3 linked regions of the Canis lupus familiaris genome follow. The protein of the gene in region 3 interacts with the protein of the main gene of each other region in a pairwise test. Links are inferred from orthologs where the notes say so. Each region holds a gene or a part of one and is shown on either strand. Other genes may lie near its edges.

Region 1 (3,754 bases), on a different chromosome or scaffold from region 3:
TCCCAAAGGAGGCAAGTACAGCAGGGCTTAAGAGCAGTGCACCGTGAATCCAACTAGAGGTGAAGTCCTGCTACTTGCCACCTAGTAGCTGCTTAACTAAGCCATGAATGCTTTCCCCACTCCTTTCTGGGCAAGTCTTTTAACCTTTCTAAGCCTCCAGCTCTTCACCTATGAAATGAAAGTAATAGGTATCAGAACGGGGTTTGGAGAGGACTAAAAAGGTAATGTTTGCACTGACCTAGGCACATAGCAGGGGAACGGAAAATGCAGCACGACAGCCCTTGCAAGCCACTGCACAGACGTGCTGACGACAGTGCCCGTTTTGTGAGGGACGTGGAAGCTCGGTGCAACAACACGAGTCTCCCAAACAGCCCTGCGTACACACACACACAAACACACACACACACACACACACACACTTTTAGGTGGCCACCCCCGAATAATGAAGATCTGGAGCTTAAGATGTTTTTCACTCTGGGGTTTCTTTGCTGATTCCCGCCCACTCCAGTTAATTTGTGTTGAAGTTGAGGCCTTTCCCAGAACTTATTTTCTGTCTCCTTGGATGGGGACATGCCTTCGGCCTTTCTGGAGAGGCCCCGGTCACAGGGCTGGCTAGGTAAGCAAGGAACTGACCACGCTGGGTTTCAGCCTTGCCGTCTGATTGCTCCTGCATCGGCTGGCTCCCACCTCACCCCATCAGGCAAGTCCCTGCACCATTATGAGCTTCATGATTCGGTCTGTCCGTTTGGGGGACCCAGGCCTCTTGGCATCTGTAAAGTAATAACGTGGGTTCCCGGACTGTCTCCAGCATTTTGAAATGTCAAAGAGACACCCCGTGTCTGAACTCCTTTGGCCAATGCCCGACTGTCTTCTTTGGAATGACTCCGTTTAGACCTGGCTCTGAGCCGTGCTCTGGGTGACCTTGATCCTCTGACAGGCCTGGGGACACCCTATACCTTCCTTGAGGCCTCAGGGCCCCCCTGCTACAGGAATGCGCATCCCGCGAAGCCATCGCTGCCGGGAACCCCTCCCGCGCTGCCGGAGCGGGAGGCCGACCTCGCACGTTCACTCCCGGGCCCAGCGGCTCCCGGGTACGAGGCCCCGCCCCCGGCCCAGGCCCCGTCCCCCGCCCCCCGCCCCCAGCCCCTTCCGGCCGCGGCTCCTGCTCTTCTGCATGTCCCCGCCCCCCGCGCGCGCGCCGCCCTATCCGAGGCCGCGCCCGGCTCGGAGTTCCCGCCCCCCCGGCCGGGCCCCGCCCCCCGCCCCCCGCCCCCCGCCCCGGCCCAGCCGGCTGGCTCCGGCTTTCTCCGGTCCGCGGCCGCCGCGGCCCCGCCCCCGCCGGCCGGGGCGCCCGAGCCGCTCGCACAGCGCCCTCCGCACCTCTGCGAACATGGCGCTCCTGGCGGTGCGGGGCGTGCGGGCTGCGGCGTGCGGGCTGCGGGTCGCCTCGGTGTCCGCCGCGCCCGGCCTGCCGCGGCCCTGGGGGCCGAGGGCGGGCGCCGTCCGGACGCTGCGCACGGGCCCCGCTCTGCTCTCGGGTAAGCGCGGGCGGGCACGTGGGGGCGGGCGGGGCTGCGGGGGGCGACGGGCCGACCGGCCGGCTCACGCTGCGTCCTCCCGCCGGGGCGCGCCCTGCAGCCTCCGGGTGGCGTGGCCCACGCCGCAGCCCTGCCCCTGCGGGCCGGGGAGCCCGGGGCACACGCGCGGCCGCCCGGGGCGGGCCCCTTCGCTCGCCGTGGAGGACCGGGCCGCGTCGCTAAGCCGCCGCGACCTCAGGTGGTGAGCTCGCGGGTGTGCATCGTTAGGCCCTGAGAGTGGGGGCATGGTGGGCTTCGGTTCGCTACGTGGACGTCACTGAGAACTCCGAGGTAAAATCAAAGCAAGGGCACTTAATGAAATTAAAGCACTGGAGCTAGATTTTTACTAGCAAAAAAGTGAGCGTGACGTTGAGGGCTCAGCTATTTCCTAAAAACAGTGAGATGAAGTCTTTTGGACTCTCAGACATTCTGCGAAAGTCTGTATTGAGTCCTGGATGTGTTGGGACAGAAATGAGGGCTCACACGGACTTGGGGTTGGAATAACCGGGGCCCTGCCCACGCCCGCCCTGGCCATCTGTGCTACTTGACGCTTCAGAGCAATTGCTGCAGCAGAAAAAGTTTTCTTACTGCGTGCCCGAGGGCATGAGACGCCAACTGCGCCTCCAGGAATTGAGGCTTCTTAGGGATGCATATAGGTCTGTGATGGCTGTTGTCTCATTAATTTCACTGTTTTACAAACCTGTTTGGAAGTGGAAGGTTTGATAACATTTACTCCAGTCCGAAACATAAAGATGCTTCTCTGTCGTTGCTAACACATTCCTTTAGTTCTGTTGGTGACACATATCAATAATTACCAATTTGAATACAAAGGGAAAGCATATCGCAGAGAAGAAGTGAATTTCAAGGCATCTTTTTTTTTTTTGGTAAGTGTGACACTACTGCTGGGTTTTTGCACTTTCCAGTTACCTAGTTAAATATTGTCCAAAATATCAATACCCATGATCTGGTGTTCAACCAGGGTTTTTAAGAACAGAGGCCCAAGTTCCAATTTCAGCCCTACCTCTTACTAATTATGTGATCTTGGGCAGAGTCACTTAACTTCTTAGTCTGTTTTCCCTCATCAGAAAAATGGAAATGATAATACCTCTACCATACAGAGTTGTTGGGCGGATGAAATGAATTTGGTAAATGTTACTAAATATTATAGAATCAAGTAGGTAAAAATTGGCCAATATTTGTTATCCGACTAGTGACTTTATTTTCTTTTATTTTATTTTTTAAGATCTATTTATTGATGAGAGACAGAGGCAGAGATAAAGGCAGAGAGCAGGGATCACGCCCTGAGCCGGAGGCAGATGCTCAACCACTGAGCCACCCAGGCGCTGGTGACTAGTGATTTTAAAACACATACTTTTTAAAGTAGGCTCCACACTCAATACTGAGGCTGAACTACAACCCTGAGATCAAGAGTCATATGCTCCAACTACTGAGCCAGCCAGATGCCCCCTGATGACTCTGAAAGGAGGAAAATGCAGACTTCTCCTGAATTACTGAAAACACCTCATTATGAAGCCAAATATGATGTTTTTAAAGGCTCAGTAAGAAAGTAATTATTTACCTGACCTGTCCACTTTTATCCTCTTGGGCTGAGGAGGGTTAAAGGAGAATTAAACTAATCATTGTCTTTAGCCTAAATAGCTTGGCCTTGTAGAGTCTTGCAGACTTTTTAAATTAAGTGGACTTGCAGGCATTTACCTTACTAATCTTGCTGTCTTTCATTCTAAACTTGTGGTTGCTCAGTTGCTAAACTGAGTGTGAGCAACCTTATTCCTAAGATTATCTTTACAATTAGGCAAGATGGCAAGGCTCAAATTGATACAGCAGTCTCAGAGAAGTCATATTTATAGTTGTCCAGTTGTTACTTTATTTTTTTAATTTCTTTTCTTTTTTAAAGATTTTATTTATTTACTCATGAGAGACCACAGAGAGAGAGAGAGAGAGAGGCAGAGACACAGGCAGAGGGAGAAGCAGGCTCTATGCAGGGAGCCGGATGTGGGACTCAATCCCAGGTCTCCAGGATCACACCTGGGGCTGAAGGCGGCGCTAAACTGCTGAGCCACCCAGGCCGCTCTAGTTGTTACTTTTAAAAGGTATAGATTTAGGGTTGCTTTTAAAAGGTTTAGATTTAGCCATCCCTGGGTGGCTCAACCACCTTC
Region 2 (2,667 bases), on a different chromosome or scaffold from region 3:
GCAGGGCCTACGGCCTCATGAGTCCGTGAAGCGTACTGAGCCTCACCCCCTACCTCCCCTTAGTTCCTCCTCACTCCTCCCTCCAGTTTAAAGGTCAGTAGGTCAAAACCCAGGTCCCCCACTAGGGGACCTTGATCCCTCTATTCCCTGTCCCTTTAGTATCCCTTCATCTGGCCCCTTCTACACAGACTTCACAGTCTCTTCCATTCTAGAGACGACCCTCCTTTGGTCTCCCACTCCCTTCCAGAGTGGGAGGGTCTGCTCTGTCCTCTTGGGCTCTGTACCTGATGCCTCCACACCCTGACCTCCTGTTCAACCCACAAGTCCTCAAGGCCCAGACTCCTCCCTCCCTGCCTGCCCTGACTGCCATCACTGGGCGGCCAGTGTCCTGGGAGCCTGAAGGCTGCAGGAGTACCCGGGGGTGCAGGTGGAGGGCATGTGGATCCTGCTCCCATCTGTGGTGGGCTCTGCCAGGGAGGATGAGGGCTCAGCAAGCCCTGGGCTAAAGTGGCTCATGCCTAATGTGAGGCTGGGCAACTACTGTGTGGGATGTGGGTACCCCCAGCTTAGGCCACAGGGTTGCAGAGGACAGAGAAGCCATAGCTATTGGGGGGAAACCAGGAGAGGCTTCACAGAGGAGATAACAGGCACAGAGAGGCAGCAAGGCATTCCAAGAAGAGGGTGGGAAGTGAGAGAAGGCGGGGTGACGTGGTGTTGGTAGGAAAATCTAGGACCTGTTGGGAATATTGTGGGAAAGCCAAAAGAACCTCAAAGGAGACTTCCCTCAGGAAGTTATGGGGAGTCACTAAATGGATACTTCTGTTTCTCTATCCAGCCCAGGAGAGACCCAGGGCCTCACAGGAAATTCCTGACAGTTGGATTTGCCTGGACATGGCCACATGATGCCAAATGACCATAAACTGCCATAAATGACTGCCTTCCGTGTCCCCCCACCCCCTCCCTTGGTTTGGAGCTAACCCTGCTGTCCTGCCCAGGTCAGGCCGCCGTGGGTGGAAGGATACCAGAAACGAGAGGTGCCTTCTTCCTCTTGCTGGGTGGCAGGGAGTCCCAGGTCTTTGCGCTGCTTCTGGCGTGCAGTTTGTCATCCCACCACTCTGTGCCCCCAGACCCAGAGTCAGGATCAAAGAGCTGGCCATCCCTGGACACCCCACCCTTGTAGCTGTGTCCATCACGTGAGCCAGACCAGCCCCTACCCCTCCTCTCCCTCCCAGGCCAGTGGAGAGCACCCTGGGCCAGGGGCTTGGAAGCTGAGGCCAAGGCTAGATGGCAGAGCCATGCAACCCTGGGGAAGAGGTCACTGTACTTCTGTGAGCCTGGTTCCTTCATCTGTTTAGTGGGCAGTGTGACAATGACAATTCTGGCCTCCCTGGGATGCCATGTGAACACAGGCGCTGTGGACACGGAGGGAACTGTGGCTATTGTATGTGTGGGTGTGTCAGAATGACACCTCCTGTTCTGGAAAGAGAGCAGGGGCCAAGGAGGGCAGGGGGACCGTTCTTTCTGAGCCTCCTCTGTGCACCAGGCACTGGGCTGTGTCCTTTCTGTGCCTGGTTCCATTTAGGCCCCAGAGTGACACCATGAAGCAGGCTCTCCTACATGCTCCCTGTGTAGGCAGAGCAGCAGGTGGTGTGGGAGGGCAGGATGGGGGGTGGGTGGGAGGGGTGGGGGCATGGCTAGAACAGTGCCTAGTGCAGCCTCACCAGAGCTGATGTCCAGACTCTGGCGGTCCTCTTCCAGCCTCTGGATCCGCTCTTGCAGCTCCCCCTGCAGCGTGTCATAGAGCAGCAGCTTCTCGCTCTGGAAAGGGTGAAGGTGCTCAGCAGGGTGGCAGGGACAAGCCACCTTCCGTTCACCTCCCCCAGCCCAGCCCGCAGTCACATTCACCTCCAGGTGCTGTTTGGCTCCCTGCAGCTCACATTCGTACTTATTCCGGATCACGTCCAGACAGAAGCCCTTGTAGATCCCTGTAGAGGGAGGGAGATGGGAAGCCCTGCTTGGCCAGGGTCTCATGTGTCCAAAAGGGGGAGCCAGGAGCAGAGCTGGGCAGGAATGAGGAAAGAAGGGAACAGACAGCCATGGGCTCTGGCAGAGGAAGATGCGAGGAGGCCTGGGGTCACCCCAGAGCACAGGACAGCCCACAGACCTGCCACCTGAATGCGGATCTTGAGGCTCCGCTGCAGTCCCCCCAGAGGCTCTGTGTATTCAGGTGCTCTCTCAGCCCCCACTTCCTCCAGCCGCACCCTCAGCTGACTCAGCCGTTCCCTGAACAACCTGGGAGGGAAAAGGCAGCACATGTTTGTTCATCAGACACGTGGCTAAGCGCCTGCTCCATGGCAGGTCCCATGTGTCAGGCCCTTGGCTACCCCTGCCCAGCACCAGGCCCGCTGCCTCCTCACCCCAGGGGGCCTAAAGACCCAGCCCTAGACGCCCCGCGCTCACTTCTCCTTGAGCTCCGAGAACTGTTTCTCCAGGTCCAGCATCTCATTGACGCACTCGCTGCGACGCCGCTCATAGTCCTCGTCGTCCATCTCTGGGACAAGAGGCCAGTCAGCTCTGGCTGAGGAAAAGCGGGCGGACGCTTGTGTGCACATGTTGGGGGCTCACCTGAGCTCTCTTCCTCCGATTCAGTCTGGCTGCCGCTCCGCT
Region 3 (3,654 bases):
TCTCTAATTATTTTATGTGTCACATTTTTAATTGACACCATTCTTCAGAAAGGCAATTTAATGATACAGAATTCACCTTTGAAACATTGTGGTCATTGTCTCTCTGTGTCAAATAAATAAAGTCTTTAAAAAAAAAATAAAAAACATTGTAGCCCTTGATGGCACCATGGTTTGTAATAGCTCTAAAATGAAAACAACTCAACTCTCCATAGTAGAATGAATTATTAATTTGAAGTGTATTGACAAAATGGAATACGACACAGTGACAATGAACAGAATAAAACCACATGCAAGCCTCATGGATGAACTTCATAAGCACAGTGTTGAGCCAAAAAAGATAAACGAGGGCATATCGTATGCTTGCATTTAAATAAGCACAAGAGCAGGGTGTTAGAAGTTAGCATCTGGTTGCCCTTGGAGGCAGGTAGGAACTGCAAGGGAACCAAAGGAGGCTTCTGGGGTGTTGGTCATGTTCTGTTTATTGATCAGGGCTCTGGTCACATGCGTGTGATCACTTTGTAAAATTTCATCTGGCTGTATATTTCTGATAATGCACATTTAAAATTTTTGTATATGCTTTTATTTTTTAATGTATGTGTACGTTAATGCAAAAACAAAAAAAAATATTGGTCGTTATCAGTCACTTTTGGATCAAATTATTGGTCTTCTCACTAAATTCCTTTATTGCTCTTCTAATCCAAGTAATTTAAATGAATTTCACAGTTTTTTAAAAAATCGGACATATGTCTTCAACCATTTAAATTCTCTCCGAAATTTTCCTGTATTTGAATTAGACATAACTTTTCACCCCTTTTTGCTTTTCTTTTCTTTTTTTTTTAAGATTTTATTTATTTATTTGAAAAAGAGCAAGAGAATGAGAAACAGAAAGAGAGAGAGAGCATGAGCAGAGGGTAGGGGCACAGGGAAGGGGGAGGAGCAGACTCCCTGCTGAGCAGGAGCCGATGCTGGACTCGACCTCAGGACCTGAGTCAAAGGCAGACACTTAGCCGACTGAGCCACCCAGGTGCCCCTCTCCCCATTTTTGTCCATAACAACTCATTGTTCAGACAAACAAACAAACACCTGTATTTAAACAACTTAAATGTTTAAAACGTTGTCACTTTTTGTTTCTGAAATGCGGGGTAGGATATTGAATATCTGGAAGTGGGGTTCCCGTGTTTATGGGACGTAGGGAACACTCCGTTACCGTCCTGGCTGGAGAGGAGTCACTTCACCCTCTAACTCACGGGGCCTTGGGAACCCAGCCAGCTCAGCCAGTCCAATTTCCAGAGGACTGAAATTGAGGTCTAGAGAGCATAGGTGAGTTGCTCCTGGCCAAGTGTGCCCAAGACCAAAATCAGGCACTGATTTTTTTCCAGAAAGCTCTCGACTTTTCAGAGTATATTGGGTATTTCCACATTATTGGGAAACACTGCCTTTTCTCAGACACTGCCAGTTGTTTTGAAATTGGACTTACAGTAATCAAATTCTACAGAGGTTATGTGTGAAGATACAGGGCAAATGTGAGAAATGTGAAATTAGGTCAAATAACTTATTGACTCTTTCTAACCCCTTTGTGAGAACACAAACATTTTCTTGCAGCGTGTAAAATGATTATGGGAAATAGAAATGCAAACAACATGGGGCGTCTGGGGGGCTCAGCGGTTGAGCGTCTGCCTTCAGCCCAGGCCGGGATCCCAGATTCCCAGGATCCAGTCCCACGTCGGGCTCCCCGCAGGGACCTGCTTCTCCCTCTGCCCCTGTCTCTGCCTCTCTCTCTGTGTCTCTCAGGAATAAAAAAAGAAAGAGGAAGAAAGAAATGCAAACAACAGATTCATTTGTGCATTTATATATAGTTGCGTATGTCTTACGAATTTTGTTGGTGGTGTCCCTTTGCATTTTTACAGACCTAAGTTTGATAATGGTTAAAAAATTGATGGGCAGGTGTTGGAGAAAGGGGAATTTAAATTTGATAATTAAAACATAATTCAGGAGACTTTCTTTTGGGATGAAATTATCTGGGTTAGCTATCAAAATACACATGGCATATACTCAACTATTTTATACTGCTTTGTCGTGAACGTATGTCTAATGATTCCCTTGTAACAGAGCCTATTATTAGTACGGTTGTTTAGGAGGTGCTCCTCTACAGGAGTGATGTAGGCTTTAGAATCTAACACCATACAATATTGGCTAGTTTAAATATTGATTAGAAAAAGTGAGAGATTATATATTTATAATTTCATCTGGGAAATAATATTAAAGGATCAGCATCTGATTACATTCCTGAGTACTTACCTAGGAAGAAGTAATTAGTAATTACTAAAGATATTAAATAAGACTGCACTTGGTATTCTGTGGGATTCTGAAATCAGTGGAGGATGAATTATTGGACGATCAAATCACATTATCACAAGAAGGGCTTAAGTTATTTCTTGTCTTGATTTTAATCAAACATTTCTGTTTAAATTAGATTAAAGAGGATATTCCTGAAACAAAGGTGAAGTTCACATCTTTAGAGAACCCTGAGACTGACAGCCAGTTTTTAAACATCTCCTGTTCATTTCAAGTGAGCTCGCCAATTTTTTATGAGCTACAGAAAGGGCAAGCTCTTATCACCTTTGAAAGAGAAGAAGGTATGAGTAATGTTCAAAAATTTGACTATGTTGGGGATCCCTGGGTGGCTCAGTGGTTTGGCGCCTGCCTTTGTCCCAGGGTGCGATCCTGGGGTCCCGGGATCGAGTCCCATGTCGGGCTCCCGGCGTGGGACCTGCTTCTCCCTCCTCCTGTGTCTCTGTCTCTGTCTCTCTCTCTCTCTCTCTGTCTATCATAAATAAATAAATAAATCTTGAAAAAATTTTTTACTATGTTGCTTTTGGAAATCGCTGAGACTTCCAAAGAGCTTTCTTAGATATTTGGCTATTGCTTTAAAATTTTTACATCTATCATCTCATCTCATCTCATCTCATCTTATCTCATGGCGATACCTTGGGGCAGACAGGATTATCCTCATTTGATGATGAGAAAACTGGGACATTAACTGCCGTGAATGTGATCACCTGTTGAGAACATGACAACCCTGGGACTCAAGCCCAGGTGTTGTGACGTCCAATACCAGTGTCTCTCTGCTCCACCTGCTACCTCCAAATGGTGTTAGCAAGAATGTCTTAAGCTGATAGAGCTCCATAGATTTCCCCCAGAGTTCTCACAGATGGCTCCTCTTACGCTCACATGACCGAGAGGAGAGTTACTATTTATTTACTTATTTTTAAAGATTTTATTTATTTATTCATGAGAGATATATATAGAGAGAAGCAGAGATACAGGCAGAGGGAGAAGCAGGCTCCATGCAGGGAGCCCGACAGGGGACTCGATCCCGGGTCTCCAGGATCATGCCCTGGGCAGAAGGCAGGTGCTAAACCGCTGAGCCACCCAGGGATCCTGAGAGTTACTATTTACATATTATAGCTAAGGACACAGATTCTTGGGTGTGTAAGTGACTTGCCTAAGGGTACATGACCAGTGAATGGAAAGAGCCCAAGAGTCAGCGATTTGGAAACGGGCCCTGACGTTTGCTGAGTCTGCTGTAGGACCCTGTTCCGAGCCGGAGGCACGCTAGGGAGGACAATCTGGCCTTCAGTGCCAACGTTGCCC

Evidence for each region.
Region 1: the proteins of NMI (region 3) and GCSH interact in binary tests that used the Homo sapiens proteins (3 or more experiments, as listed by UniProt). The two-hybrid records come from large-scale screens. The link is inferred for Canis lupus familiaris from reciprocal best matches to the Homo sapiens genes NMI and GCSH.
Region 2: the proteins of NMI (region 3) and BRMS1 interact in binary tests that used the Homo sapiens proteins (3 or more experiments, as listed by UniProt). The link is inferred for Canis lupus familiaris from reciprocal best matches to the Homo sapiens genes NMI and BRMS1.

The regions. Positions count from the first base shown.
Region 1 is NC_049226.1:71,304,340-71,308,093, forward strand, and holds the start of GCSH (glycine cleavage system H protein, mitochondrial), read left to right. Parts: upstream 1-1,358; 5' UTR 1,359-1,390; coding exon 1,391-1,538; intron 1,539-3,754. UniProt on the Homo sapiens protein: The glycine cleavage system catalyzes the degradation of glycine. The H protein (GCSH) shuttles the methylamine group of glycine from the P protein (GLDC) to the T protein (GCST).
Region 2 is NC_049239.1:51,473,141-51,475,807, reverse strand, and holds part of BRMS1 (breast cancer metastasis-suppressor 1), read right to left. Parts: coding exon 2,626-2,667; intron 2,552-2,625; coding exon 2,461-2,551; intron 2,293-2,460; coding exon 2,165-2,292; intron 1,986-2,164; coding exon 1,906-1,985; intron 1,819-1,905; coding exon 1,722-1,818; intron 1,116-1,721; coding exon 1,023-1,115; intron 1-1,022. UniProt on the Homo sapiens protein: Transcriptional repressor. Down-regulates transcription activation by NF-kappa-B by promoting the deacetylation of RELA at 'Lys-310'. Promotes HDAC1 binding to promoter regions.
Region 3 is NC_049240.1:54,258,483-54,262,136, reverse strand, and holds part of NMI (N-myc-interactor), read left to right. Parts: intron 1-2,473; coding exon 2,474-2,636; intron 2,637-3,654. UniProt on the Homo sapiens protein: Acts as a signaling pathway regulator involved in innate immune system response.